4 linked regions of the Astyanax mexicanus genome follow. The protein of the gene in region 4 purifies or fractionates together with the protein of the main gene of each other region. This does not show direct contact. Links are inferred from orthologs where the notes say so. Each region holds a gene or a part of one and is shown on either strand. Other genes may lie near its edges. The genes, in order: dnmt1, cbx5, znf644b and histone-lysine N-methyltransferase EHMT2-like.

The links.
Region 1: the proteins of histone-lysine N-methyltransferase EHMT2-like (region 4) and dnmt1 purify together in Homo sapiens (affinity purification with western blotting; 3 studies listed by BioGRID, with this or other methods). This does not show direct contact. The link is inferred for Astyanax mexicanus from reciprocal best matches to the Homo sapiens genes EHMT2 and DNMT1.
Region 2: the proteins of histone-lysine N-methyltransferase EHMT2-like (region 4) and cbx5 purify together in Homo sapiens (affinity purification with mass spectrometry; 3 studies listed by BioGRID and IntAct, with this or other methods). This does not show direct contact. The link is inferred for Astyanax mexicanus from reciprocal best matches to the Homo sapiens genes EHMT2 and CBX5.
Region 3: the proteins of histone-lysine N-methyltransferase EHMT2-like (region 4) and znf644b purify together in Homo sapiens (affinity purification with mass spectrometry; 3 studies listed by BioGRID and IntAct, with this or other methods). This does not show direct contact. The link is inferred for Astyanax mexicanus from reciprocal best matches to the Homo sapiens genes EHMT2 and ZNF644.

Annotation. Positions count from the first base shown.
Region 1 is NC_064410.1:3,868,448-3,876,083, forward strand, and holds the start of dnmt1 (DNA (cytosine-5)-methyltransferase 1), read left to right. Parts: upstream 1-4,630; 5' UTR 4,631-4,815; coding exon 4,816-4,862; intron 4,863-7,636. UniProt on the Homo sapiens protein: Methylates CpG residues. Preferentially methylates hemimethylated DNA. Associates with DNA replication sites in S phase maintaining the methylation pattern in the newly synthesized strand, that is essential for epigenetic inheritance.
Region 2 is NC_064420.1:885,810-892,817, forward strand, and holds the start of cbx5 (chromobox protein homolog 5), read left to right. Parts: upstream 1-3,991; 5' UTR 3,992-4,114; intron 4,115-6,056; 5' UTR 6,057-6,122; intron 6,123-6,964; 5' UTR 6,965-7,008. Other genes in the region: hnrnpa1b (heterogeneous nuclear ribonucleoprotein A1b), read right to left, coding at 455-547, 642-852, 947-1,093, 1,863-1,982, 3,326-3,337. UniProt on the Homo sapiens protein: Component of heterochromatin that recognizes and binds histone H3 tails methylated at 'Lys-9' (H3K9me), leading to epigenetic repression. In contrast, it is excluded from chromatin when 'Tyr-41' of histone H3 is phosphorylated (H3Y41ph).
Region 3 is NC_064412.1:51,070,086-51,077,529, forward strand, and holds the start of znf644b (zinc finger protein 644), read right to left. Parts: upstream 3,003-7,444; coding exon 2,964-3,002; intron 1,356-2,963; coding exon 1,321-1,355; intron 1-1,320.
Region 4 is NW_026040041.1:5,516,393-5,524,007, reverse strand, and holds the start of histone-lysine N-methyltransferase EHMT2-like, read left to right. Parts: upstream 1-4,611; 5' UTR 4,612-4,707; coding exon 4,708-4,716; intron 4,717-5,700; coding exon 5,701-5,740; intron 5,741-6,642; coding exon 6,643-6,720; intron 6,721-6,823; coding exon 6,824-7,023; intron 7,024-7,615. Other genes in the region: uncharacterized protein LOC111190472, read left to right, coding at 1-1,948, 2,062-2,130. UniProt on the Homo sapiens protein: Histone methyltransferase that specifically mono- and dimethylates 'Lys-9' of histone H3 (H3K9me1 and H3K9me2, respectively) in euchromatin.

The sequences.
Region 1 (7,636 bases), on a different chromosome or scaffold from region 4:
TTTAAAAATGTTCAATACTGATAAGATACTTTTTAAATTTGATATTGATACCAAAACAATACTTGTTTTGATACATTTTTCTTAATTGTACCAAGAAAAATACAAAAAGATGATCATACTCGCACAACATATTTATTTAACAGCTAACATGAGAGGCTTGATCTTGTTGGATCTTGTTGGAACAAAAACAAAAAATGGGCATGTTTGTGGTGCTTAATTAACCCTTTTAAAACCTACATCCATTACAATGGGTATTTTTTTTCTTTCATTTTAAGGTTTTGTTTTGCACATAAAACTATTTGAGAGCTGTTGTCCATCAGAATAGACTATAAACCAGCCATTTAACAAGTTTATAAACCAATGAAACAGTAACTTGGCCCCGCCCACCGTACTGGAAAAACAGGAGTACTAGAGCGATTGAGGCAAAGTAACAGCTCATTTTTACTAATCCTAATTTAATCAGGTTTTTACTCATTTGTTTTTTTTATGAAATAAAAAGGTCAATATGAAGTATAAAATATTACACATATTGTTATAATCATTACTCATTTTTTAAATACTGGTATTTGCCTGTATTATTGTGAGGGGACAGTAATAAAAGTATAGTGTGGTTTGTGGTATGCCAGACTAAAAAACACCTGTCTCTACGGCAATGTTTAGAAAGTAGTTTGCAAATTTGGACTGCATATCAAAATAAATCAACCCCAATGTCTCTCACTCTCACACACACACACACACACACTCTCTCTCTCTCTCTCTCTCTCTCACACACACACACACACACACTGCCACAGCTGCTGCTCTAAGATATTAATATAAAAGCATCAAAACTACCCGAGATATTTTAACAAATAAAAAATAAGGCTCTATTCCGATAGGCCTACACCACACCACACTACACTATTAATTTTGTCTCCTCCCAACAATAAAGGATTTTATGATTAATCACAGACTTTTTTGTGATTTATATACATTTTTTATTTAATTTTAATATTAAATGCTTCAGACTTAATCACAAAAACATTGCTTTGATTAATCAGATTTTTTTTCGTAGATTGACACCAGTAAATTTGATGCATTATCAGGTATCTTTAATTTGCCTTTAGATATTGTGACATAATACTTTTATTTTATTACCCAGCTCTATTTTATCCTATTGTATTGTATTGTATATCAACATATGAGTCTTTAGTTAAATCACCCAGCTCTATTTCATCATATTGTATCGTATCGTATATCAACATATGAGTTTTTAGCTAAATCACCCAGCTCTATTTCATCATATTGTATATCGATATTTGAGTTTTTAGTCATATTACCCTGCTCTGTCTGGTATCAAGAAAGCTATTGTTATGCCCCAACCCGAGGGAACTTCCTCTGCCTAATTTAAAAGACAGCTTACCTGGAAAAACCAAATAGGCAGAGTGAAGCAAAACATGCACCGACACAGCAAAGAACAGACTCGCTAGGACATGACCAGATTTGAAAAGTGGTGCGGCCTACAACCATTAGCTCAGATTGTTGACAGGGCAGTGTTGCTTTGCCAGTTGCAAGGGCATGTGGGAGTGTTGTGGAGCAACAGTGTGGGGGTGATATGAGGTAAGAGGAGGATGAGAGCCAATGGGAAGGGAACAGCATCATGGGAAGGCCTTGTTTCTCTTTCTGACCTCTGGACGCCAGACCTCAGGAGGAGTTCTTGGCTCAGGAGGAGCGTCCGGGCCTCGGAGGAGTGAGGGTGAGTAAGCTTCTGAGGACGGTCTGGTCTGGTTGCTGTCAGACGTCCAGAATTCCTGGGTGGGAACATGCACCAGGGCCCTGGGAGACCATACCGCTGGAAGCACAGCCAACAGCTGTCAGCAGGAAGTGACATCAGGCCTGATAAACCACAGAAGAACAGCTGCAAACTCATGTAGCTGTAAGCTGGCAGTCTAGATCTTTTACATCTCTTTTTACTCTCCCATAACCTCCTGCCCCACCCAACTGCACACATGTGTCTGCAGCAGGCCCTGCTAAAACTCCTCTCAAACAGTGCCATCTCGTGGTCAGCATGATGGACAGATGTTGGGAGACAGAAGAGATAGAAGACTGGGGAGTTCGGCAAAATGAGTCTACAGTTCCCTCTGCTGGACTGGCTGAATAGTGTATAATACAATTGCTGGCAGATCTTTAAACCAGCATGGTTGCAACAATACAAGCAAACTAATCAATTGCCAAGGGCCAAAGCTGGCCTGGAGTCCCCAGACAATGACGGCTTATGAATTAAATGCAACGACAAACTATTTAAACCCTTTAAAGTATGTGATGATCAATGCCGGAAAGTACAATGACACTGTTATTAGAAATCCCCTCCCACTTGTGGCTGACAGTAGCCTATCAGCCAGGTTAGTCATTCCTGCAGCCGGCAACCTCAGCAGTCATAAATCCAGAAAAGAAAGTATCTCTAAAGCAAGACTTTTACTTCAACTTTTACTTTAAATTTTACCTCAGGTGTCTCTAGTCTAAAGTTTGGAAATTGGATTTAAATCCAATTGTTTTTATTATTTTAAAATGTTCCGCATTATAGATTAACACTAAAATCCTCAAAACTATGAAGAAAAACATAAAAATTAGTTCACAGCTAACAGCTGTCCCTTGTCAAGTGTTAATAACTAACTGTTAATATTTTCTTGCTCTATTAATGTGTTCGAGAGCATCAGTTGTAAAGTTGTGAGCAATCTTCTAATCCATTTTACGTCAAGAACTACTCAACTAAGTAAAGAAATATAGTACTTTAAGAAATGAAGGTCAGTTAATCAAAAAAAGGAAAGAAACTGGCACTCATCTGGACCACACCAGTAAAAGAAAGAGCACGAATTGCCTCTGTTTTACAGGATTAGCTTTCCTAAATGCTTCTTCACAGAGGATTTTGGTTTGTTTAACACTTATTTTAAGTTATTACATGATTCCTTATGTGTTCCTTCATAGTTTGAATGACTTTTGAGTTTGAAGTACTAATTTGTAATTTGTAATATATATATATATATATATATTCAGTTCAGATATCAGGCAGATATGCCTTCCTGCCTTTAAACCATACAGACAGCATTTCCACACTTCAGACACACACACACACACAGAGATCTACAGTCCAGCTGCAGGATGCAGTATTCAGCAGGGAGAATCTCCCGCCTTTGTTGAGATTCAAGTCATGTAGGACCAGAGCTGGTTTATGAAGAGACTACACACTTTCTGTTTCTCTTTTAAATCAGAAAATTACTTTACACCGCTAGAGGGAGCCCGCGAGGGAGTCTTCAATGAATGGGATAAATGGAGCTAAACGGCTTCTAAACACAAATTAACAATAGTAACTTCTAGTCCAGGATATTATTTTAATTTTAGAAAGCATAATTAAGTATTGTACTAAAACAATAAAGAAAACCTACATATACCTTTCCATTTTTCTATAATAGACTATTTTTGGACAACAAATTCGCTAGCATTACTGCTACTCTGTGCTGATTGGTTGGTGGAGAGCCGATGCTGAAGACACAGCCAGAGCTGTTTTATGGAGGTTCATAACTATACTTTTTCTAAGTACTTAGTACTTAAATGCTGTATCTGTATCTACTGAAGTATTTTTATTTTTTTCACCTACCTCCACTTTTACTTCACTACTATGATTTTAATATTATTTTTATATTAATTTTATATTATTTTTTTATCTGCTGCATCGTTGCTCGTTACAAATATAAAAATGTTAGGAATCATTTCAAACGTACATTGCAATTTGGGTGCCCAATTAATCCTACAATCTTACAATATAGAAATGTAACAGTGTAGAAATGGCTCTTCAAGAATTTAATGTCACTTTAAAATCGTTTGGTTTTCTGTTTTCATAGGACTCTTTAGTGGTCATTTTGTGTGTGTGTTTTTAAACACAAAAAAATAAAACCTCTTTAATTGTAAACCTTTGGAATTTAATCAAGCGGAAGATGAATGATCACAAGCCATCAAACCAAGCTGAATTGCTTGGCGTTTTGCACCAGGAGTGGCATAAAGTTATCCAAAAGCAGTGTGTAAGACTGGTGGAGGAGAACATGTCAAGATGCATTAAAACTGTGATTAAAAAACAGGGTTGTTATTTCGGCCATTTCTCATTTTCTGTAATTAAATGCTATAAATGACAATATTTTATAATAATATAAACTAAATAAAATAAAATAATATGTTAATTTTAGTCAAACATATACCTATAAATAGCAATATCAGAGAAACTGATAATATTTCTCAGAGCTAAATATATATAGGTATATAAAGGTATCTCAACCTGTGCACGTTTTCCATTGGGCAGTCTCTCATCTGTAGAGTTTCTCCAGTAGGACCACCTACCTTACATGAAAAACGGACGAAACCATATCGTCATGATTGATTAAGGGGTGTTTAGATTATGGATGGTTTAAGGACGGGATATCAGCGGGGGTCGTTTATCATTTTATTGTACATAAATGTAAATGTTTTATTAGTGTATTATGTGAGTTTGGTGCGTTTTATTCGCCTTTTAGTTAAGTTTAAATGTAATGGACGTATTCTCTCTATCTGCAGGCACCCTATTTTTCCTGTGGATGGTTAAGTCCGAGTCTTTCCGCGGGAAAGCGGCCCGCGCACATTCGCATCTGCTGGGAAACCTTAAAAAGCCCCAGTGTCCCCTTGCGGCGATCCGCTGCTGCTGCTCTTCCTGCTGCTGCTTGTTTTAAACATTGGCGCTTTTAATTGTTCACTGTGTTTTTGTTGTTTTTAACGTATTCGCTGTTTTATCCGCTTTTATTCTCACTTGAAATGCCTGCGAAGACCTCGCTGTCTCTGCCGGAGGATGTGAAGGAACGGTACGGTAAACCCTAACCTCACCTGGGCTTTAGTTAGTTAGTTAGTTAGCTAGCGTTACCTAACCTTGCTAACTACCTTTAATTTGCTGTACATCTATATTAAAACGTTAAAACACGCACACAGCTAACCTAGCTAGCAGCTCAACCCCCCAACAACAGACTGGAGCCTGCAGTGTAGCACAGCAGCCACAGCAGGCTCTAGTCTGTTGTTCGGGGTTTGAGCTGCTAGCTAGGTTAGCTGTGTGTGTGTGTTTTTTTAATAAAGATTAAAAGCTTAAATATCGTTAGAAACGTGGCTCTAACTACTGTTAATGAGGCGGGTTAGGTTAGCTAGCGCTGTGGCTCTCCGCCAAAGCACTGCAGCCAATTCTGTGACTGATAACTAGAGTTAGCATGCTAGGCTAAGCTAACCCGTCAGGCAGTTGTTTTGGTCTCCCCTCCGCGCGCCCGCTCGCGCTAGCTCGCTGTCACCGGGCAGCCTGAATTTGGCGCCAAATGATGGCTGCTGCTGCTGTTCCTGGCCTGACCGTGTCAAACCATATCTTATAACTAAAGTGTGTGAAAAGTATGATATGTCAGACATAAATTTATATTTTGACTGCAATTCGTTTGAATAGGGTGTTTCAGAGCTGGGAAGCTCCCAAAACATGATGCTTGTGTTCTACCTGTATTACGTTGCCCAAAGGCAGCAAGTGAAAACATTCATTTACTAAGGTTACCATGAGAATATGTAAGAATATGAATAATAAGATATAATTATTTTACATATTTCTTATACACATACAAAAAAACTATTCCTTGAGAAAAAAAAAACATGTTTAATCTCCCTCTCTGTATATACATCTCTGAAAAGTAGAAACTGTATTAGGGTTGTGTCACATGACACTAAAATAATAGCTAAATATTTAATGTTATTTTTACTCTAACAATACTCCCAGCAATATGACAAGACTCAATAAAAAATATATTTTAAGAATACTCTCCAACCAAATAATGATTTAATTTGTTGTTGCATACAATATGATGTGGCACTCTACCAACTGAAATTAAAAATACAATAATTTTATCAGATTTGTATCTGAAGTCAGTGATTCAGAATATCTTCATATATCCTGGACTGAAGTAAAGTGAATGATACTGGACAGATTATCTGTGTCTAGTAGATCTATCATGGGGAATTTAGAACAGTGTGAAACAAATCTCCTTTTTTCTATGTGCTCTGAAGAGCTAATTAGTTTATAATGTGGCATATACTTTGGGTAAAGAGATATTTGGTATAGATCTGTCCAAACTCTTTTTTTGGTACTGTACATTAGTAAACATGGGTTTGCCACTCTGTTATGGCATGTGTTGCTGTATTGTCAGTTAGCTAATACTGTTGTGTAGGGGTTTTAATTTTTCCCTGTATGTCTGAATAATCACCTGAAACTTTATTAAAATCAATTATGCATGGCCGAAGTAAAGTCTGTTTATTTATTTTGGCCAAAACATTCCCTCTGCTGTTTGATTAGCTTTAAATAATCCTTTATCCATCCCACAGTGGGAAAATTTACAATGTTCCATCAGGATAGAAGTATCAGAAAATGTAGAGACTATCTATCAATCAATTAATACAAAAAATTCAAAACAAATCGTGAGGGGAAAATTTAAGACTCGTTGTTCCCCAGTATGTGTATTTTGGTGAATGCAGTGACCAGTGATTCTGCATAAACAGATTATGCTACACATGGTGAATAGGGGTATTACACGTAGTAAGAAGTAATGGCTAAACAGGTTTTATTGCACACAGTATTAATAAATAACTAGTAATCTTCAGTTTATCAAGAGTAGTATGTTATATACTCTGACAGTGTCCTGGAGAAAGAATCTTTCTGTAACTGTCTTATTTATTTATTTTTCTTGGTTAGTTGTTTATTTTTAGTATAAACCCAGATCTTAAACTCTTAAGCTATGTGGTGGAATATTCATGTTTTGATTGTGTACAGCTGTTTAGGTAAATACAGGACAATTACTGGCTATTAGTTGAACACCCAGACTAGCCTGTTGCCTATCGTTCTCTAAAATACATAAGCTCCATGCATTTACTTATTGTTTCATTAAATTAAGCCCTCTTCTGATGTAATTTCTGATCTTCCTTTGTAGCTGTGGTCCAATCAGCAACACTGCAACTTCTGTTCCATTTGTACATTTTAGCAGTAGTGACACCTGAGTGACATGTACTGTAGTTAACATTTAAGGTTCTACAGTGCACGGTTTATTTCTTTTAGCCATGTTCAAATCATCCGTTACCTGCCTGATAACCAGTCTTACAGGGAAAACTGTTAGCAGTGATGACCGTTAATAAGGTTGATGAAGCAGACATTTTAGCAAGGGAAGCAAGAAACCAGGACCTTTCTTGGAACTATGTCCCAATTACAGATGCCTACTATACTCACTCCACAAAATAAACTGTATGAAATATCACCAATCATAAATAGAAAATGCAATATGGACTTCCTTAATAGACAAGAACAGTCAGTGATGACTAGGTGCCGAATTGGACATACTGCTCTTACCCACCGTCACCTCCTGGTTGGCGAACGGACTCCAGCCTGCCAGTTCTGTGATACTCCTCTAACAATTAAACATATCTAAGTAGACTGCCCTGCACTTTTGACCACCAGAAAGGACTTTTATAGGGTTACAAACGTGAGAGAACTGTTTGAAACTATTCCACCAGCTAAAATACTTAATTTTCTGGAAGTCCTTCATATGAAGACACTAATTTAAGACTG
Region 2 (7,008 bases), on a different chromosome or scaffold from region 4:
ATGAAAAAAGTAAACTTATTCAGATATTGAATTGTTGTTTTCGTTATAGTACTGCAATATAAACAGATATATCGAATTGTAAAGTATCGTATTGTTAAATTTGCCAATACACCACCCAGCGCTACAGTAAAATTGCAATCTAAATAAACTAGATTTAAGTAAACTAAACAATTAATTAGAAAACATGGGTAAATAGACTAGATTTAAATAGGAACACAGGGAAATAGCAGAAACATGAAATCCAGTAGTACATATGCAAATAAACCATAAAACCTGATAATTATAAGTATTCATCCTTAGCTGGTAAAAGGATTTAATTCAAAGCAGATTTAACACCTGTTTAATAACTGAAATTTGATTTAATTATATTTTGAGTTACTTTGCGTAGAATGAGTAATGTCTATTTACAGGAGCAACAGTTTTAGATCATTTCAGGTAAGAGTTAATTTTTTACCTCCTCCTCTCATGCTGGAATTCTGCATCTCCTGCCTGGAGAGAGCTTTCCTCACTTCAGAGTTGTGGCCGTTTATCGTGTGATATTTCTGAACTAAAGAAAAAGAAGAGAAATCATGATTAAATCAAAGCTTCAAGCAAACAAAAACCCTCATCCACCCAAACCGAACAGCACAATTTACACTTACTAACGATGCGATCTACTGAGTCGTGGTCTGAGAAGGTGACGAAGGCAAAGCCTCTTTTCTTTCCAGAGCCGCGGTCGACCATTATTTCAATAGCTTCGATCCTCCCGAACTGGTCGAAGTAGTCGCGGAGATGGGACTCCTCTGTATCTTCTTTGATGCCGCCCACAAATATCTTTTTTACGGTCATGTGTGCAAAGGGTTTGTTGGAGTCCTGGAACGCAACAGCCGTGCATTTAGAAACGTCTCAAGCCATGCACCCAAAAAGAAAAAAGGTAGATATATTTTGCAGATTTGTAGATACGTACCTCTCTGGACACGGCTCGTTTGGGCTCCACGAGTCTCCCGTCCACTTTGTGGGGGCGTGCGTTCATGGCAGCATCTACTTCTTCCACATTGGCGTAGGTGACGAACCCGAAGCCCCTGGACCTTTTGGAGTTCGGGTCTTTCATGACCTTTAAAATGTACACATACAGAAAGTGGTGTTTTAGTACAATTTTCAAACCAAATGCAAATAGGCATTTAGAAAGCGTATCCTTCTACAGGACTTATTATATTATTATATTTGGGCTATTAGTACAAAACTGGTGAGGTAAAACCAAGAGGAATTGTATAACAAATCACTATTACCCTCCTTATGTAGGCTATTACTCATACAGTATTGTTGGATTTTTTTTTTACAGCATATAATATAACTAATACTAGCAACCTGAGTTTTCACGGGCCCATTTTTACACTACTTTTGTCAATGATATTGTATGCGATATCACACCCCTAACTCAAGATTTATCAAATTTTAACAAAAGTCAAAACATGTCATGATACCAATTTACTCCAGACTAATATCTAGTACTGAAGAAAACCTATATGAGAAACGTGGGGAGAAAAGGTACTCTAACGACTAACATAGCCCTAAATACCATATATTCCAGGGTGCTTATGCGACAACTATTATAAAAAATAATCTGATATTGCACAAGATAATATGGCACACCATTACTGGCATTTTTTGTTTTATTTGAACCTTTTTTTTATACTATTTTTAAATGACCTGTTTGGTTAAGTTACTCATTTACAACGAAAGCCTGGCAAACAGCCGAAGCTACCTGAGAGAATGGCGAATCAAGAACAGACAATGGTAATAAATAGGCTAGATAATGAACAGTAAAATTTCGCAGTGTGGAAGAGAAACGCTCCAGAATAAAGGGAATAAATGAAACTCACCACACAGTCCGTCAGTGTTCCCCATTGTTCAAAATAGGCCCTCAGACTGTCGTCCGTCGTCTCGAAGCTCAGGCCTCCAATAAACAGCTTCCTGAGCTGCTCGGGACCTCGTGCTTTACTCTAACCCACAGAAAAGACACAAAAACAGACGTTTTAAAAAGCTCAAAAATTGTTTTAACACCATAAAACACTTGAAAAATACACGTTTACACAGCTACATAGTGTCAAAAACCTCGCCAATTACTCCAAGGCTATTCAAAAAGACAATTACTGACAAGGCCGCCATGTTAGCCAACCTAGCTAACAAGCTAACCTAGCTTAGCCACATGCTAACTAACAATGCGAGCCTACACGCCCCCTCCTTATCTACAATTAAATATATTATTTAATTAATACGATTAAAATTTCGATAAACATGTCTTATTAGCAACATTAAGCTACTAAATCTGCTCATTTAAAGCAGTGATTCAAAAATGAAAATCCCAAACAGAAGCTCAAAAGATATGGCGACCAGTGTTCTGCCAAATTGTGCAACCATGTCAAATCATGCTACACTTAAAAAAAAAGGTAGAAATATTGCTAACGTTACGTAGATTTGTTAACAACTCCAGACCCTGCATCTAATGCAAGATTACCTTTTTATTGTATATTGACAACACTACTTGATAGATGTTGTAAATTAGAACAGATAATGAACAAAATGTATAAACCAACAAAACTTGGCCCCGCCCACTGTACTGGGAAAGCAGTATAGAACCAGAGATATTGAAGCAAAATAAGTTAATTTTTTACTAATTTAATGATTTAGAACACATTTAAAATCACGTTATTTACTGTTGTGGTGGTTTAAGAAATCAATAATAAAAAAGTAAATCTACAACTACATACACACTACTACACAGGCTTCCCTGTGTGCTATTGAATTAAAATAAAAGATTAAAATATTTTGGATACTTGGCTGTATAAATTTAATTTTATAATCTTTTTTTCTTGCATTACAGACAAAAAAAAAACAGTAACCACATTTTTCCATTAATTGAGATTCATCAGGTCTAAAAAGGTTAATGCGGCCTAAACTAACGCTAGCTAAACAACAAGCTACGTAGTTAATCTAAAAAATGACCAAATTAGAATAAAGTGACGAATAAAAATGGCACATAAAGGCAAATTAAACTAGTTAGTCAGCGCAAGCGCACTGCTAGCAAGCAGCACATAACCGCCGGGTAACAAATTCCGACATAACACGAGCTAGCGGCAGCCCTTACACAAAAACAAAATGGCGGTAGCTACCCGCTAGCATTCGGCTAAATAAAGACAGCTAACCTTAGCCCATTGCCCTCCATTACAAATTATTACCCTGATCATTTAGCTCATAAACTCGATCCCCACATATATTAAACCCCATACACAACTCATAACCACATTAAACCCCGAATAAATGCGAAATAAACTGCTTAACTCACCTCGTTCGACATGTTGCACAGCAGCCCTCACCAAACTGCGCCACACACAATACGACGAAAACGCCGAGAAGGAGGAGAAAAAAAAAAACCCGGTCCATACCATATATCCACACCCCACCCACTTGTCCCGCCCCTGCGAGCTACGATTGGCTGAAAATTCCCGCCACGGTGCTACGCTTACGTTCTTTCATTTCGGATTGGCTTGGATCCGTGTCAATCTCGAGACTTCCACAGCGTAATATGCATATAGACAACTGCTCGGCAGCGAAGGCGTAAAACTGATTTGATTTAAAGACTCAATAAAATGTTATTCTGCTTTTATATTAAACGATTAACGTAGCCCACCTTTCATTTTCTTTTTTACAACAATTCACACGTATATATATGCACATATATCACATATATACGTCTGTGTTGTTCATTCAAAACCACACAGCTAGCTCGCTACAGTCATGGTTGCTTGCCACTCACTATACACGTTCCACATGTTTTAGCTATCTAAATTACATAATATCTAGCTAATATAGTAAATGTTTGTTTTTCTTAGACGATGGCTTTGTTGCACTAGTGACTGTGTTGAATTACTTGCTGCAGGTTTGCTTGTGTCTGCATCGTCTTGTGTGTGTGTGTGTATGTAGTCAGCTACCATTGTGTGTTTTTGGCGCGCTGCAGCTCGCGCACACACACACACGCAGACACACACATACATATCTAGTAGAGCTGGGGCTTCATACCTGCGAGCGAGAAGCGGTTTAACTACAAATCAAGCGCAGGAGAAGATAGATTTCTGTGAGTTTCATCCGATTTCGCTTGACATAATTAATAAGCTATATTTCTGCACGATTTTGACCGATCTGGGTGAAGTAGAGCTGCTGTTAAATTATGGAACAGGGCGATCAGCTTCGCTCGGTCCGTCGTTAAATCGGTTAGCTAGGAGAGTGTTTGCTAGCCGTGTCTCTGGTTAGTGGCTAATTTATATCATAATATGAATCATATTATACTTACTGCAATATATGTAGTGTTTTTGATGCTTAAATCGTGTGAGATTTGAGTCATTCCAGCGAAATAAGCAGTGTTTTAACGTTTTAAGCAGTAATTATGGTAAACTATTTGGATAGCCAACACTTGCTAAGCTAAAGCTAGGCGCCATGTTTTTTTTTTCGCAGCGCCGCAGCATTTTAGTTAGCGTTAGCTATCAGCTTGGTTTAATTTATGAACTCATCATTCTTTCACATTTTAATTTAAATAAATTATTTTTATATCACGTTTAGCTTTATATATCTTAACTACTGGCGTTTGGGTAGCTAGTTAGCTGTTGTTTTTGTAGAAGACACGATAAGTTATTGCGTTAGCTTAGCTTAGCTAGCTAACTTATAGGGTTAACCTGGCGTTAGCTAAGCTAGGTAGCTAACACTAGCTATCTTCCAAAACCCCGGCATTGTAGCTAACACTGGCTAAGCTGAATATATAGTTAACCTTGCATTTTTATGATGGAAATCGATATCGTGCATTATTTTTACGCCAAATTAAGCTTTTTTGGGCGTTTTAAGCACAAGGTTTCACCGTGTGTTCGTTTTAAGTATGCTGTCTAGCTAGCAAGGTTAACCTAGTTAGGCTAGCTTAGCTAAGCTATTGACAATGCCATTGGTATAGTGAGCTGCTGGCCTTAAAATGATCTTCGCAAAAATGTTTACTAACCAGATTTCAATCGTGTATATGTTTTAAACGTCCAGGAACCGGCATAATCAATCAAATATGCTTGTATACACGTTTTAAACCATATAACGACAGTAGCAAGCTGTTGTGCTAGCTGAGTTAGCAGCTCCGTGTTGCAGCCATTGGGTTTCAGTAGGTAACCTTATAGATGTAGGTTTGGTAGGTAACCTTGCTGTCTAAACCATTCAACTAACTATTTTATCTATTTATCTGTATAGTAATTATTAAAGTCGTGTACTTAAACGTTAATTTCTGTGTTTTCAGACTGAATGACAGGTAGTTGCTTACATTTGAAGGTAGCTAGCTTAGCTATCACCGATACTACATAAGTTACAGCTCTAGAAAAAATAAAGCAAGCACTTCAGTTTCTGAATCAGTTTCTCTGATTTTGCTATTTAAAGGTTTATGTTTGAGTAAAATGAACATTGTTGTTTTCTTCTATTATTATAGTAGTATTGCATACTACAGACAACATTTCTCCCAAAATACAAATATAAATATTGTTATTTAAAATGAGAAAATAGACCTCAAATAATTAAAAGAAAACCAACAAGTTCATATTCATAAAGTTTTAAGAGTTCAGAAATCAACATTTGGTGGAATAACCCTGTTTTTTTAATCACAGTTTTCATGCATCTTGGCATCATGTCCTCCTCCACCAGTCTTACACACTGCTTTTGGATAAATTTGGATAAAATCAAGCAGTTCAGCTGGAGATCATCCGTCTTCCACTTGATTATATTCCAGAGGGTTTCAATTTGGTAAAATCAAAGCAATCATTTTTATGTAGTCTCTTGTTTTTTCAGAGCTGTATATTAATGTATTTTTCATTCATTCTGTAAGTCAGGTAAAGTAAGTCAGGTGTGTTAAAGTGTCATTTTTAATACACTTGAAGTATACTCTAAATGTACTATACACGTACACCTATTCTGTGCACCTTAATGTCCCTATAAATGTTTTCTATCAACACAATGTTTAATTTAAAGCACTTCTAACTTCTCTGTTTTATATTCAGGGGAGGGCAGGCTGCCTGCTGTGGCTTTTCCTTAGTTTTGAGCCTGATCTGCAGTCCCAGAGAAAGGTAAGCACTAAAATATGTTGGCATTAGTGGCATCTGTATAGTATCACACAAGTTTACTGTTCTACTCTTCTTAAAAAATAACAACACTGTCCATTAAACAAAAAATAAATACATGTGTCAAAACACCTGAAAAACTATTTCAATTGATTACCTATTATTTCCATGTTATCTTAAGTCATCCCTATAACATTTCACTTTATGTGGATGGCAAAAACTTACTGAATATGAGATTTTAATTTCATTTAGAAAATACAGGACATTCACCACTTATCTCAGTACAAGTTGAAATTCACAAAAACACTAAATTTCATATACAGATATATTTATTCAGTAAAAGTAGCTGCTGTGACCCCTCAAAGACGCCTCGTTAGATTCTGTGCCATCTCTCACCTCCTTATTCTCATGTAAAATTGCACATTTACATGACATTGCACTTAACATTTTAAGGCAGTGGTTGATACTGTGAATTGACTTCATTTGATTGGTGATGTGAAACATTGCTCTTTTGTGTTTTTGTTTGCGGATCAGTTTAGCAGTATAACTTTAAATATACATCACAACATAGACAGAAGCAAAACTCATTTTCAGAGGAAATTGGTGAACATATCTGAAGTTTCTCTCAGTAATAATGACACCCGACACAATAGTCAATAAATTATATGCAGCATAATAATCAGAATTAAAGATACAACCATAAACAAGCTTTTATGAAATTCGTTCTGCAGTGCAGTTATTACTAATGTTATTCCAGTCAAAAAACTGCCTCAAGATTGGATTGGATTTATCCTTTCCTAACGATTGTTCTCTCTTTTTCTTTTCTCTCTATCTCTTTTTCATATCAGTAGCAGAGGGAACATTTTCCCCTTATTTGGCCAGGGAGAATCCC
Region 3 (7,444 bases), on a different chromosome or scaffold from region 4:
TGTTAATCTACACAGATTAATGGCAATCGTGTATTTGGGTAAGTAAATTGCTTCCATTTATTTACAGTAAGCCACGATAAGGGTGAGTTTTCAGTGAAGTTTCTCCAGCTCTAAGGCTGGGTGCAGCAGCATTAGCATTAGCCACTAATCGCAGTGCTAGCAGGACATAAATGCCACCAGATATCACCACACTGAGGAACCCTGAGTGTTTCAGTAACCCAGGGTGCTATCAGCTAGCGCTTTATTCCACGAGCTTTTTTTAACACGACAAACATGCAGACTACAGTCCAATCTAATTATAAAGTGCACTGTCGATATTTGAGAAATTAAAAGGATTTTAAGTGTGTAATAGAGTTTCTGATTGGTTGTGCCTGTCACTATATTTAGAGTCTTAGAGTCTTCCTATTCATGGCTATAGGTCAGTGTTGTTTTGGAAGAGAGGATTTACTTTTAATAAATGACTGAACTCCATTAAATAGTCAACACTGAGAACACAAGTTCTATACAGGACACCTCTGCTCTAAAGAGTCTGATTTGAAAGTGTATAAAAAAGTTAAATCGAATATATAAATAAGGTTGTCAAGACACCAATCCTTTAAAAGACAATTTCTTCATGCTTTCCTCTGCATTTTTTTCATGTGCTTTAAGAAGCAAATAACTGCTTGACTCAAAGCTATAAATGGAAAATGAAAATGTTCATATACAAATGAACAGAGGCTGGTTTTGATGCATAGAGACACTGATAAAAGAAAAAAATAAATATATATAATATGTGGCCTTTTAATTAAATAATCCAGGGTCCATTCTTAAAATAAGATATATTACACTGCCTAGCTCGGTTTATGGTCCAATAAGACTGGAAATAAAGTTTGTTCAAATCTTCCAGGTATAGCTCCTGGTGGATTGAGATCTCCTGAGGCCTACAACAGTGCAAGCCTGAAAATTTGTCTCAGAAATTTGGGCAAAATGAGCTCACCATCCAGGAACTTGTCTCCCGCTGCCTGGATTGGAATCAGGCTAATGGCGACTGACAGGCTGTCTGTACTCAATTTTACAAGCTCGGAGTGTGCAAGAACGGAGCCTGAAAAACAGGTAAGGACTGGAGCACCTGTCAGCAGAGCGGGGAAAACGAGCTGAGGAAAGTTCAAGTCTTTGATGCAAAACTACTGCCTCTGATAAAAAAAAATATTACATTGTGGCCCAGAGGGCATGGCTGGTAAAAGCAATCCTTATCAGTCAAAAAAATGTTCTCTAATGCCAGCATTCAGCTTAAAATCCCAGCTGTGCCACATGCAATCATAACAAACATGTCATGACTACCTTCTGCCCTGGTGCCCTGCAGTGTGCCATCCAGTCTAACACAGCAGTCGCCAAACCTTCACCTGGAGATCTCCTAAACGGTTTGTTTCTGTTAAAACACAGAAACAGAATTATTCTCATTCACACAGCGTTCTCCTTGCCTTAAATGTAGGGAATCCTCACTATTTATCCATAAGTTTTCTGGTCACCCCTTTTAATCAATGCTTTCAGCTTGTAAACAGGTGTGAAAATGTGCCCATACAGCTTGCCTAGAAGGCAAAATAATGCCACATGCCATATATTGTGGTACAACAGAGTACCTTTCAGTGAAAGTCTTTTTTTTGTACCCATGTTTTTGCACCAGTTCAGATTATAATGATTATAAACTATTATCACCAAATTAATGTGTGTCAAGAACTTGATGATCCAAAATTGTCTGGCTTTCAAATGAAAAATGTATAATTAAAATATACAGTTTTGGGGGGAAAAATGGGACCACTTCAGTGTCTGAATATAAGTAAATGTTTGAGTAAAATTTTGTTTTATTCTATAAACTACAGACAACATTTCTACCAAATTCTTAATAAAAACATAGTCATTCAGAGCATTTGTTTGCAGAAAATGTCCGAAATAACAAAAAAGATGCAGAGCTTTCAGACCTCAAATAATGCAAAGAAAACAAGTTCATATTTATAAAGTTTTAAGAGTTCAGAAATCAATATTTGGTGAAATAATCTGTTTTTTAATTAAAGTTTTCATGCATCTTGGCATGTTCTCCTCCACCAGTCTAACGCACTGCTTTTGAATAACTTTATGCCACTCCTGGGGCAAACATTTAAGCATGTGAGCTTGTGATCATCCGTCTTCCTCAAAATTATTTTCCAGAGGTTTTCAATTTGGTAAAATCAAAGAAACTCATCATTTTTAAGTGGTCTCTCATTTTTTTCCAGAGCTGTATATTGTTTATTAGTACTGGATGCAGAATACAAAATGCAGCTTTTGGCTGGATAAATGGTACAAATCTGTACTTCAAAGTACATTACATTACATTTGTCAGACGCTTTTGTCCAAAGCGACTTACAATAGTGAAGTACAAAAGTAATAGAAGTTAAAGGTGAAAACATCTTTAGATAGGGCCTAAAGGAGGTCAAAGGGAAATAATAGGATAGAGGAGTGAAGGAGGGGAGGAAGGAAATGAGGTTAGAAGTAGTAAGTGTGTTAGAGGTGTTAACACACTAACACAAAGTGAACACATTTGACCTGTAAAGACCAATATTATACCTATATATATATTATTGAGGGTACAATTATGAAAAGTGTACCTTTAATACCTTTGTATCTTTCTTTTTAAGTGTGTAGAGGGGTATAAAGCCCCCAGCATTAAGCTGTGGAGCAGTGAAACTGTGTTCCCTGGAACTATGGATGGTGCTTCATCCAATACTTTTGAATGAGAGGAGAAGTAAGTAAGTTTGTGAGCGGGAGTGGTGATCTTCCAACATCCTGACCTTACTAACTCTTAAGCCCTCATCACTCAAGCCAACCAAATCCTTACAGTAATGCTCCAAACGTATCCCAACCAACATGCTCAGGTGAGCTCATGAGCTACATAGGGAACATGGGCTTGGTGTGTTCCAGGTGTGCAGTGGCTCTGAGTGGATTTGTACATGTGTTGGGACTGAGTCGGTCAACACATATGGGCCCATCCTTACGCACAACCCAGTCCCAGAGCACAACCCAGTGTATTAACCCCTGCTGCTCCCAATACTGATTTTGGTGGACATCAATATGTAGGGCCAACATGGAGCCCAGGGGCAAAATATTTGATTCCTATCTGTGATGTTCAGAGAAAAATGGCAAATTTAATGAAAACACCACTGCTCTGTTATGCATGGTGGTGGATGGATCATGCTTTGGTAACGGAACATTTCACTGGTAGGTTGATTCAATTAAATATGATTGATCCACATTATATTTCATAAGAAAGATAAATGTATTATTCAAAAGCATTGTCCTGTACTTCTAAATTCATTGAATTGTGCTCTGCCATCAAATAGACATTTCACACAAATGCCTGCATTACACCATATTTTTCAAATTTCTTCTTTTTTTTTTATTTTAAACCTTTTCACTTTCACGTTGGTAACTATTATCATCTGTTCAATAAACGTTTACAAGGCCAGAGATTCACTGACTGTTTTATAGAGGTTTCTGTTTAGATGATGGTGACAATGTGCACTCTGTTGTGTAGGCCTGCAATGCACTGGTGATAGTTTCTCTATTCTGTAGGAGGCGAGTGACCCCAGTGGCAGCTGTTTAAGTAGTTTTCTTTAGTGTTTTTTTTTTTCTCTCTCCACAGTCGCATATGTGTTGCTCAGCTGTACAATGTGGAAATGAAAAGCTTTGGTTAAAATTCAATCCCTAAGAACCTAAATTATATAACATATCAAGTTATAATGTACAATAAGTACATGGTAGAGTTATGGAGCCTCAACCTATAGTCCAATATTTTCCTGATGTAATATATAGTAATTACCTTACACCTACCAAATGGTAGTGGTTTGTGCTCTTATTAAAAAAAAGGTAGCAATATGACAGATATATCTGTATGGAGTTGTAGAGGTTCCTACTGGTGTCCTGCAATAATCAAACGTTGAAGGTTCAAAATGTATGCATAGCGGAAAGGGTGGAGTGTTGATAGCACACCAAACATCAATCCACATATTTTCAATCTGGGTATAGGTCTGGAGATGCGGCTGAACTTTTTCTGTGCTATTTCTACAGGACATTGCTCCTACATATATTGGTGCCAATAATAACAACAATAACAGCTTTTCTGTATCTCTGGTGCAAGCAATACATTTTTTTCTCATAAAATTGCAAAAATCACTTCAATCATTTTCAAATTATAATCCTCCTGCATAGCCATTTAAACTACATCACCAAATGAAGCTACAAGCCAATGTGTGCCTGCATTTATGCTCAAAGTTAAATTCAGATACGTACAGAATCTCACAAAGAGAGTACACCCACTTTAAATTTGCTGTCTCCTCAAAATAACTCAACAAACACCTAGGGCTGCAACTAATGACTATTTTAGCAGTCAGCTAATCTGCCGATTATTTTTTATGATTAGTCGATTAGTCGCAATTATTTTTTGTCATGCCCTCCATTTTTACTTCCTACTGGTGAGGAGAGCCAAACAGTTAGGCCCTAAGACCAATCTTGCAGTAAATTGTTTATAGACAATGTTTTACAGTCGGCGTTGTCATTTACGCCAACTAATCGTTAAAGAAACCTGTCCTATTAAACCGCTGTATAGTCTTGGCCACCGTGCTGCCACTCAGTTTCAGGGTGTTGGCAATCATCTTATAGCAACAATTCTTTATTCAGATCCTCAGAGAATCCTTTGCCATGAGGGAAAACGGCTAATTTGGCTGTGTTTTGAGTTATTTTGAGGGCACACCAATTTACAATTTACTTAAACTGGTTACACATGTAAATTTACACTGACTATTTTATGAAAGTGTCATATCTTCAGTGTTGTCCCACGAAAAGGTACAATAAAATGAGTGTATTCACTTTTGTGAGATACTGTATATGGATACACTCGCAGAAAAGAAGTCTTTAACTTTTTTTTAATAGTTTTTAAAGCCTTTTCTAACTCTACAATAAAAGTAACAATGTTTAAAACAAAAACAGAAAAATATTTAAATTGATATTTGTTTATTCTGTCCCTTTAACTTTAAAATTTACATTTACAATGCACTTTATCAAAAAGTCAGAATGAGTAATCGCTCCCCATTCCAGGACTACAAGCCTTCCTTTGTTTTTAAACCACCACTGAAGAGTGCTTTCAACAGAAGAGAGTAAAGGCTAATGCTAATGCTAACACACACACACTTTAAAACCCAAACCATAGCACATTTAGCCACTATAAAACAGTTATTACACATCAGTAGTCAACAAACAACAACAGATACTACTACACACACTCACACACATACAAAGTGACTTTCACTACAGCTGGATGCTAGTCGGTCAGTACACTGGATAATAAAATATTAAACACATTATACAACAGCCACTACTAGTCACCACTAAACTAAATAAATAAGTCCTGAGTGTATAATTATACAAACAGTAACTAAAAACATACTTATCTGTATATTTATAAAAAACACAAAGATCATACTCCACATACAGAGACAGATCAGATCAGATCAGAGAGCGAACTTAACTGATCGGCACATTCCTAATAATAAGGGCCCTTTAATATGGTAATGCCAATGCAGGTGTAAAACAACAGAAAAAAAGATGAGGTGTAAAAACAACACAAAAAAGAGGTGTCAAACTGAATCAGTCACCTGTGGTGAGTTTGGCAGAGAAGTTTTATGTTTCCACAGGATCTAAAGAACACTTTTGTGCATGTGTTACGAAGGCACACTTCACAACAAGTTCGAAAATGAGCCAAACAGAAAAGAAAACAAGCTGAAAACGAAACCTCTTCAGCAGCCAAGACGCTCAGCTTGAGAAAACACTGGGATAATTAGTGGCTTTCGCCTACAAACACTAAGGGTGACAGAAACTAACCATAAGAGAAACCTGATCAGTGTTTCCTGCTTATTATTTGCACCGTGGGCCGAAGGGCACCTTGCAGGGCCGCACCATCTGGGCTTTGACCCCCTACGGGGCCTGGAAGTGAAGTGAGAGCTGCAGTCAGGTTACTGCAGGCCTGCTGAACCTCTCTAAATGTGGCTTTTCCTGACAAGCTTCCACACGGGACTAGTACAAGCTCGTTTTATTTTTATTCTCTTGCCTTTTTTTAGTGGGTTGCGGTGATGGTGATGGTGGGGGGTGTTCCAGGCTGGCTATAAAAGTATCGTGTCACTTGTTAAAAACGCTCAACAAGGAAAGCGTGCAATTGATAAAAAACAGAGGTGATGGAGTTGCAGGAGCTCGTGTTTGCAGTTACAAATGCTCGCATGAAGATAACATGAGGCGAGACGGAGAGATGATGATTGTTAGAGAGAGTTGCTGCACGTCTGCCCGTGCTTGAAGTGTCAAAGCTGAGCTCGAGCCGGGTGCAGGGGGAGACAGGCAGGCAGGCAAGGCAGGCAAGGCAGGGCTGGGGCTTCTGCTGCTACTTCTGCTGCTGACACGGGGAAACGGGGGGCTTGCCTTAGCTGCTGATTGACAACGCTTTGGCTAGATCCTGACACGAGCCTTGTAAAAGAGCAGATAAAGCGTCAACTTCCAGGGGGGAGGAAAAAAGAGTGAGAAAGAGTGAGAGAGTGATAAAAAGCATGACAAACCCTGCTTGGAAGTGAGCTGACTTGCAGAGATCAGGAGCAAATCCCAACTTTTCCTCCTTCATTGCAACTAGCAAGCACTGCATTCAACTAGCTACCTAACTACACCATATGGACAGAAGTTTTGAGACCTGTTCCTTGCATTTCATTGCTTCTTCCAAAATCAAGGGCATTGCAAAAGAGTTTATCCTGTCTTTGTTGGAATAGCTGTCTCCGCTGTCCAGTGTAGGCTTTCTACTAGATTCTGGAGCATTGCTATGAGGATTTGATGGCATCTAGTCCCCAAATAATCCCAAAAGTAGGTGCCAGGGGTAAGTGATATAAATAAAAATGTAACAAACCCCGATTTGCAGAGATCAGGAGCAAACTTTTCCCCCCTTTATCACAACATGCAAGCATTGCATTAAACTAGCTGACTACATCATATGGACAAAAGTATTGCAACACCTATTTATTGCTTTTCATTGTTACTTCCAAAATCAAGGGTTTTACAAGAGTTTATCCTGCTTTTGCTAACATAGGAGAGTAACATGACAAAAAAAACATTAACAAAGAGTAAGAGCTAACCCAATGATTGCCTTCTTGACACAGCTAGCTAGCGTGGCATTTAACTAGCTAACTGGATAACATGGCCATTCGAGGCTTCTATGGTTAAACCATGTCGAAACCATTTTTTTGTCCACAGATTCCATGTAGACCCTAAGTATAAATGCACACCCATGTGACATTAAAGTGGGCGGCAATTATGGGCCCACTCACTTGGGAATCCCAATTGGGTCCCAGTAACAACACAGGTACAAACCCACTTAAAACCCATCCATGCCCATTTGGAACCC
Region 4 (7,615 bases):
TCAGGTGTATGACGTCATAAACCGCTGCCTGTCGACTGATGAGGCGGTACGAATTCTAACAAATGTGGATGTAAGTAAAGTGAGCTCACTGCAACCAGCGCATCCCCAGTCTGGAGAGCTTTACTTGTACAAATATCAAAAAGGTCAGGGAAATAGAGGTCAAGACTGGACACCGGAGAATGCCCTGTGGATCAACTTGGGTACAAGGAATGTTCCTCACCCTAGAGGTTACCTGACAGTGAGATACTTTGTTGCTCGAGGAGAAGGTCAAGAGATTAGAAGGCGGATATATGAGATGTCTGAAGATGTTGGACCGTACATGTTGGTACATTACTTAGGTGAGAATTCACGATTACGGAGACCTCGTAGACACATCCAGTTTGGCCAACAGATGTTTGCACAAACCACGCCTCAAGAGGAACTCAAGAAAGTCGAAGAGGAGCTGGATATTTCTGATGTTTCTGAAGTGCAGAAGATCACAGAAAACACTCCTGTCAACAGCAAACCACTTGCAGAAACCTTGATGTCAGCGAGCATGGAGCAAAATCCAAACACTGGCGAAGAGTCAGGCAACTTTCTCAACCCCAAAGACATAATGGCGACTCAAATGATGTGCAGGGAGCTGAAGGACTTCGTTGTTCATATGAGTGTTTACCCAGATGTGATTATCGTCGCTGCATTGCCCGAGATGACCGAGCAGTTCCAAGTGATGCTGAAGAATTCAGATCCATGCGTAACGCATATCCTCTACTACAACAGCACATTTAACCTGGAGAACTTCTACGTGACGCCTCTTCTTTTTTGCCACAATGATTTTGAGGAGAGCCCAACTTTTCCGTTAGCTTTCCACATTCACCAGTGCCAGAAAGAGAGAGCTCACACCATATTTCTAGAGGAACTTCTATGTCTTCTGCCAGATCTGAACTCCAATCGATTTGTGATTTGCACTGATTGCGAGGCTGTCGTTGAGAACTCTGTCAAAAATGTCTTACCCAACGCTTCTGCATTCAACAGCTTCCGTCAAGTTCTGTACCATCTGAGATACAAAGTGATGTTTTGTGAAGAGGATGACATTGAGGACAATGTGCAAGGGTACATGAACAATTTGAGGAGTCTTATTTGTTCGGAAACTGAAGAACAATGGAGGGTTAAACTTGGTTACTTTTCTGTTACCTGGAGCACTGCCTTCCTTGAGTACTTCCAGATGCACCTGGAGGCCCTGACAAAAAGGTCTGCCAGGTTTACCCTCAAAGCACTTGGCCTACCAGAAGATGAAAAGATCACTAGTACTTTTCAAGAACTCAGTATGATGCTGATACAGATGAGGCATAGGAAACTCAGACTGGAAACGACTGTATTCACGACATTCCAGATCTCGATGTACTTCCTAAACGAAGTCTTGAGAAGCAGTTGCAACATGGGGCCCTACAAACCCACTCCCGCAAGCTCCAGAAGTGCTACCGACATGGATGATGTTGACTTCCCAGAGTTTGTTATGACCCCGAAAGAGATTGTCCACTTCTTTAAGAACAGTTTGGCTGATGACAGTGACACCATGCCAGAGCAGGAGGCATCAGGAGGGTACGACCTGGCATCAATGCGACCAATGGCAGAACTGATCATTGAGAAGAACAAAATAAGTCTTGAGCCCAGCATAAAGTCGTTCTTTGTAACGGGGTGGAGGGGCCAGAAATACGTTGTTAAAGTCTACCCAGAAGAACGATGCTCTTGCTTCTTGGCTCACCACTGCTGCCACATACTGGCGGCACGTACGGCTATCGGATTAGAGAAGGAAAAGAAGGAAAAACCTTCCTTCAGATTATGGAAAATGTGTCGGACGGCTGAAACAACACCATCGGGGGAAAAGGGAACCAGTGTTGTACCTCTGAAGGAGGTCAAGTTCACACAGTGTTTCCCAGACGCTTGTGGTGGCGACGCTCACAATAAGGTGAGGTTAAAGATGGCACTGTACACGATGATCTACACCCATTTCCATGAACCCAGTCCTGTTCAAACTAATCTGATTATGCCTCTGAAAATTCATGCTTTCTGTTTTTCCAGAATTACCTGATCCTAGAGGACTCCAGTTCTAGCAGTGAATCTGAGGAAGCTAACGAAGACTCTGAATAAAACCTTCCCATCACAGCTGGTCTACTTTTGTTCTGAAACCAAAGTCTTATTTTGTTATTCAGCTAAAAAGCAAGCCTAAGTTGTATTTTATTCTCTAAATAATGTGGTCTAATTTTGTTAGCATGTCTAATTAATAGTTGTTAGCCCATGTTTAATTTCATTTTTCAGCCAATGAGCTAGTCTGATTTTGTTATTTAGCCAATAAGCTAGTCTTATTTTGTTAATCAGCCAATAAGCTGGTCGGATTTTGTTATTTAGCAAAAAGCTAGTCTGATTTTGTTATTCAGCCAATAGGCTGCTCTGATGTTCTTATTCAGCCAATACGATAGTCTGATTTTGTTATTCAGTCTATAAGCTCCCCAGTTTTTGTTATTTGGCCAATAAGCTATGATTTTGTTATTTAGCAAAAAACTGGTCTGATTTTGTTTTTCAGCCAATAGGCTGGTCTGATTTTGTTATTTAGCCAATAAGCTGCTTTGATTTTGTTATTCAGCCAATAAGCTGGTCTGATTTTGTTATTCAGCCAATAAGCTAGTCTGATTTTGTTAATCAGCTAATGCATTGGTCTGAATCTTGTTATGAGCCAATGAGCTTTTTTGTGTTACGCCAGTGTCTGATTTTGCTACTTAGCCAATAAGCTAGTCTAATTTTGATATTAAAGCCAATGAGCTTACTTGCTTGTTTGTTTTTTCAGCAAATAAACTAGTCTGATTATGTTATTCAATAAATAGGCAATTGGCTAGATTGATTTTGTTTTTTAGCCAATAAGATGGTCTGATTTTGTTATTTACAATGAATTAGTCTGATTTTGTTATTGAACCAAGGAGCTGGACTGAATTTTTAGATTTTTGTTACTCAGACAATGTCTGATTTCGTTAGTTAGCAAATAAACTACCCTGTTGCTTGAACGTTAGGTGAACATTGCTTAAATGTTAAGTGAGCATTAGTTAAACCGTGCTTGAATGTTAGGTGCGTGTTAGTTGAATATTTCTTGAATGTTAGGTGAGCACTATTTAAACCTGATTAAATATTAAGTAATTGTTAGTTGAACATTGTGTAAATGTTAAGTGAGCGTTAGTGTTACTTGAATGTTAAGTGAGCACTTTTTAAACCTGATTAAATATTAAGTAATTGTTAGTTAAACATTGTGTAAATGTTAAGTGAGCGTTAGTCAGACGTTGCCTAAATGTTAAGTGAGCGTTAGACGTTGCCTAAATGTTAAGTGAACGTTAGTTAGACGTTGCCTAAATGTAAAGTGAGCATTAGTTAAACCTTGCTTGAATGTTAGGTGCGTGTTAGTTGAATATTTCTTGAATGTTAGGTGAGCACTATTTAAACCTGATTAAATATTAAGTAATTGTTAGTTAAACATTGCGTAAATGTTAAGTGAGCGTTAGTTAGACGTTGCCTAAATGTTAAGCAAGCGTTAGTGTTACTTGAATGTTAAGTGAGCACTTTTTAAACCTGATTAAATATTAAGTAATTGTTAGTTAAACATTGTGTAAATGTTAAGTGAGCGTTAGTCAGACGTTGCCTAAATGTTAAGTGAGCGTTAGACGTTGCCTAAATGTTAAGTGAACGTTAGTTAGACGTTGCCTAAATGTAAAGTGAGCATTAGTTAAACCTTGCTTGAATGTTAGGTGCGTGTTAGTTGAATATTTCTTGAATGTTAGGTGAGCACTATTTAAACCTGATTAAATATTAAGTAATTGTTAGTTAAACATTGCGTAAATGTTAAGCGAGCGTTAGTTAGACGTTGCCTAAATGTTAAGCAAGCGTTAGTGTTACTTGAATGTTAAGTGAGCACTTTTTAAACCTGATTAAATATTAAGTAATTGTTAGTTAAACATTGTGTAAATGTTAAGTGAGCGTTAGTCAGACGTTGCCTAAATGTTAAGTGAGCGTTAGACGTTGCCTAAATGTTAAGTGAACGTTAGTTAGACGTTGCCTAAATGTAAAGTGAGCATTAGTTAAACCTTGCTTGAATGTTAGGTGCGTGTTAGTTGAATATTTCTTGAATGTTAGGTGAGCACTATTTAAACCTGATTAAATATTAAGTAATTGTTAGTTAAACATTGCGTAAATGTTAAGTGAGCGTTAGTTAGACGTTGCCTAAATGTTAAGCAAGCGTTAGTAAGTGTTACTTGAATTTTTTTTTTAACCTGATTAAATATTTTTTGAACCTGATAAAATATTAAGTAATTGTTAGTTGAACATTGCTTGAATGTTAGGTGAACGTTTGTTAAACGTTGATTGAATGTCAGGTGAGTGTTAGGTGAACGTTGCTTGAATGTCAGGTGAGCACTATTTAAACATGAATGAAGCGATTGCTAATTGAAGGTTAGTTAAACGTTGCTTGAATGTTAGTTAAATGTTCAGCTAATGTTCAGCTAACTGTCTCAGTCTGTGGGAGTCGCGGCGGGTAAGTAAACGGTTTGCGAAAGGGGACTTTTATTTTGAAGGCGCGTTTCTCCTGTAGCCATTTTGAACGGAGCCCCGCTCCGGTGTGTTTTTATCTCTTTACTGTTTGAGTTTTTCTGTGTTTAATAAAGAAAAGCTGCAGAGAGAGAGAGAGACATGGAGGAGGTGAGTTCAGATTAACAGCAGATTAAAGATTGATTTAACCAGTTTAACTGAGTGTGAGCGGATTAATCCCGGGTTTAGAGGATAAATAATGATCTACAGCTCTTTATCTTTATTATTAATCACACACTGATTTATACACTGATAAATACACAACATTATACTTATTAACACTGTAGCTGGGGGTAAATATGTGTTTATAGTGTTTTTATAGGTATATAAACTGTGAACACTGTGTTATTACTGCAGTCTGGTAGATAATCTAATAATACAGCAGTGAATAGAGCATTCAGTTACCTACTGTTATTATTCATTATAACATTATGACATGTATTTATGTGAAACTCATAATATTATATAGATGTATTAAACAGAGTGGTCTATTTTAAGAGTTTATTTATTTTATTGTTGATGATTATGGCTTACAGCCAATGAAAACCCAAAATAAGACCAATTGTACTTTTGGCAGTGTGGGCAGTGTGCCAAATCCTGCTGGAAAATGAAATCTGCATCTCTATAAAAGTTGTTTTCAGCAGAGGGAAGCTGTAAGATATGAAGTGCTGTAAGATTTTGTGGGAAAACAAAACTGCACTGACTTTAGACTTGATAATAAAACACAGTGGATCAACACCAGCAGATGACAGACATGCCTCTCCAAACCACCACTGATCATCAGTAAATTTTACATTTCATTTAAAGTAAATCAAGGTATCAGAGTCTGGAGGAAGAGTGGAGAGACACACAGTCCAAACTGCTCGAGGTCTAGTGTGAAGTTTCCACCAATCAGTGATGGTTTGGAGAGTCATGTCTGATATCTGCTGGTGTTGATCCACTGTGTTTTATTATCAAGTCTAAAGTCAAAATCTTACAGCACTTCATGCTGAACCTCTTCTGACAACGTTTAAAACCAGCCTAATTTAAAAAATAATGTTGGAAAGTACCTGTAAAGGTCTGTAATGTGATTTATTCTGTTGTTTTATTGTCCAGAGTCCATCTGAGAGCCGACCAGCGCACTCCAAACCCTCAGGTGATGCTCCTCTCCTTCATACACACTCTAACCTACGTGTTCCTTAGAAGTAATGAAATACACCAGTCCTGCTTAAATTTTAATAAACACTTTCTAACCTTTAAAAAAAAGCTCTTTTATTGTGGTAAACGCGTCTCACTGAGAAGTACTGCTTAGGCCAGTCAGCTCTCCACTCTGCTCCGCCCCTAAACCCATACATCACCAAGTGCTCCTCCCAAACTACTCTTCACATTATTTTTTTAACCTGTTTTCAAATTTGATCTTAGGGTGGAGTCAGCTAAAATCAGAGGGGAAGATACGATAAGAAAATTTGTTTCTCTGATTTTGCTATTTATAGGTTTATGTTTGAGTAAAATGAACATTGTTGTTTTATTCTATAAACTACAGACAACATTTCTCCCAAATTCCAAATAAAAATATTCTCATTTAGAGCATTTATTTTATAGAAAATGAGAAATGTCTGAAATAACAAAAAAAAAAAGATACAGAGCTTTCAGACCTTAAATAATGCAAAGAAAACAAGTTCATATTCATAAAGTTTTAAGAGTTCAGAAATCAATATTTGGTGGAATAACCCTGGTGGTTTTTAATCTCAGTTTTCATGCATCTTGGCATCATGTTCTCCTCCACCAGTCTTACACACTGCTTTTGGATAACTTTATGCTGCTTTACTCCTGGTGCAAAAATTCAAGCAGTTCAGTTTGGTGGTTTGATGGTTTGTGATCATCCATCTTCCTCTTGATTATATTCCAGAGGTTTTTAATTTGGTAAAATTTAAAGAAACACATGTTAAGGAGTCTGTCTCACCAAATTTGTCTCTTCTTACTTTCTACACATTAAACTAAAGTCTCTCAATAAAAGTTGGTTTCCTGACTTATCTTAATTTACCTTTATCTTTAAAGAGAGTCTAAAGGAGAAGGAGAAAGATGGGGGGAGCAGTGAGAACACAGCGACGTCCAGCTTCACCAAACCATATACAGGTAAACCTGCAGTTAACACGCAAGCTCTGCTGTGTCCAATCAAATTACACCACCATGATCATGTGACCGCTGATCTCTCTCTCTCTCTCTCTCTCTCTCTCAGGTCATGCTGCTAAGTCCGCTCCTCCCTCGTCTCCGTCTGCATCCTCCGGTCGAGCGAAGATGAGTGTATGTGGGCCGGGCAGTAAAAACCCCTCCTCCTCCTCCTCCTCTTCCTCTCTTTCTTCATCCTCCTCTTCCTCAGCCCCACCCCCTAAAGTCCACCGCGCCCGCAAGACCATGAACAGACCCCCCATCACACAGGTGACCATTAGCAATTACATATTACTGTTATAACAGTGACTGAATTATTTTTAGGTAATGTGTCATTTATAGCAGGAACTGAATTATGTCTATTAGATGCTAAATCATACGTAGCAGATACTGAATCATTTGTATTAGGTGCAGAATTATATAAGGTAGTTACTGAATCATCTTGTAGTAGATACTGAATAATTTATAGTAGATACAGAATTAAATATATATATATATATTTATATATATATATATTTATAGTAGAATTAAATATATATATCATTTAAGGTAGATACTGAATCACTTGTGTTGGGTACAAAATAATATATGGTAGTTACTGAATCATTTATACAGCTAACTGAATCATATTGTAGTAGATACCGAATCATTTATACAGCTAACTGAATCATATTGTAGTAGATACTGAATCATTTATACAGCTAACTGAATCATATTGTAGTAGATACTGAATCATTTGTGTTGGGTACATAATTATACATATGGTAGCGACTGAATCATTTGTAGGATTTACTGAGTCATTTTTGTAGTAGATACTGAATTATTTGTGTTGGGTACAGAATGATATATATGGAAATGACTG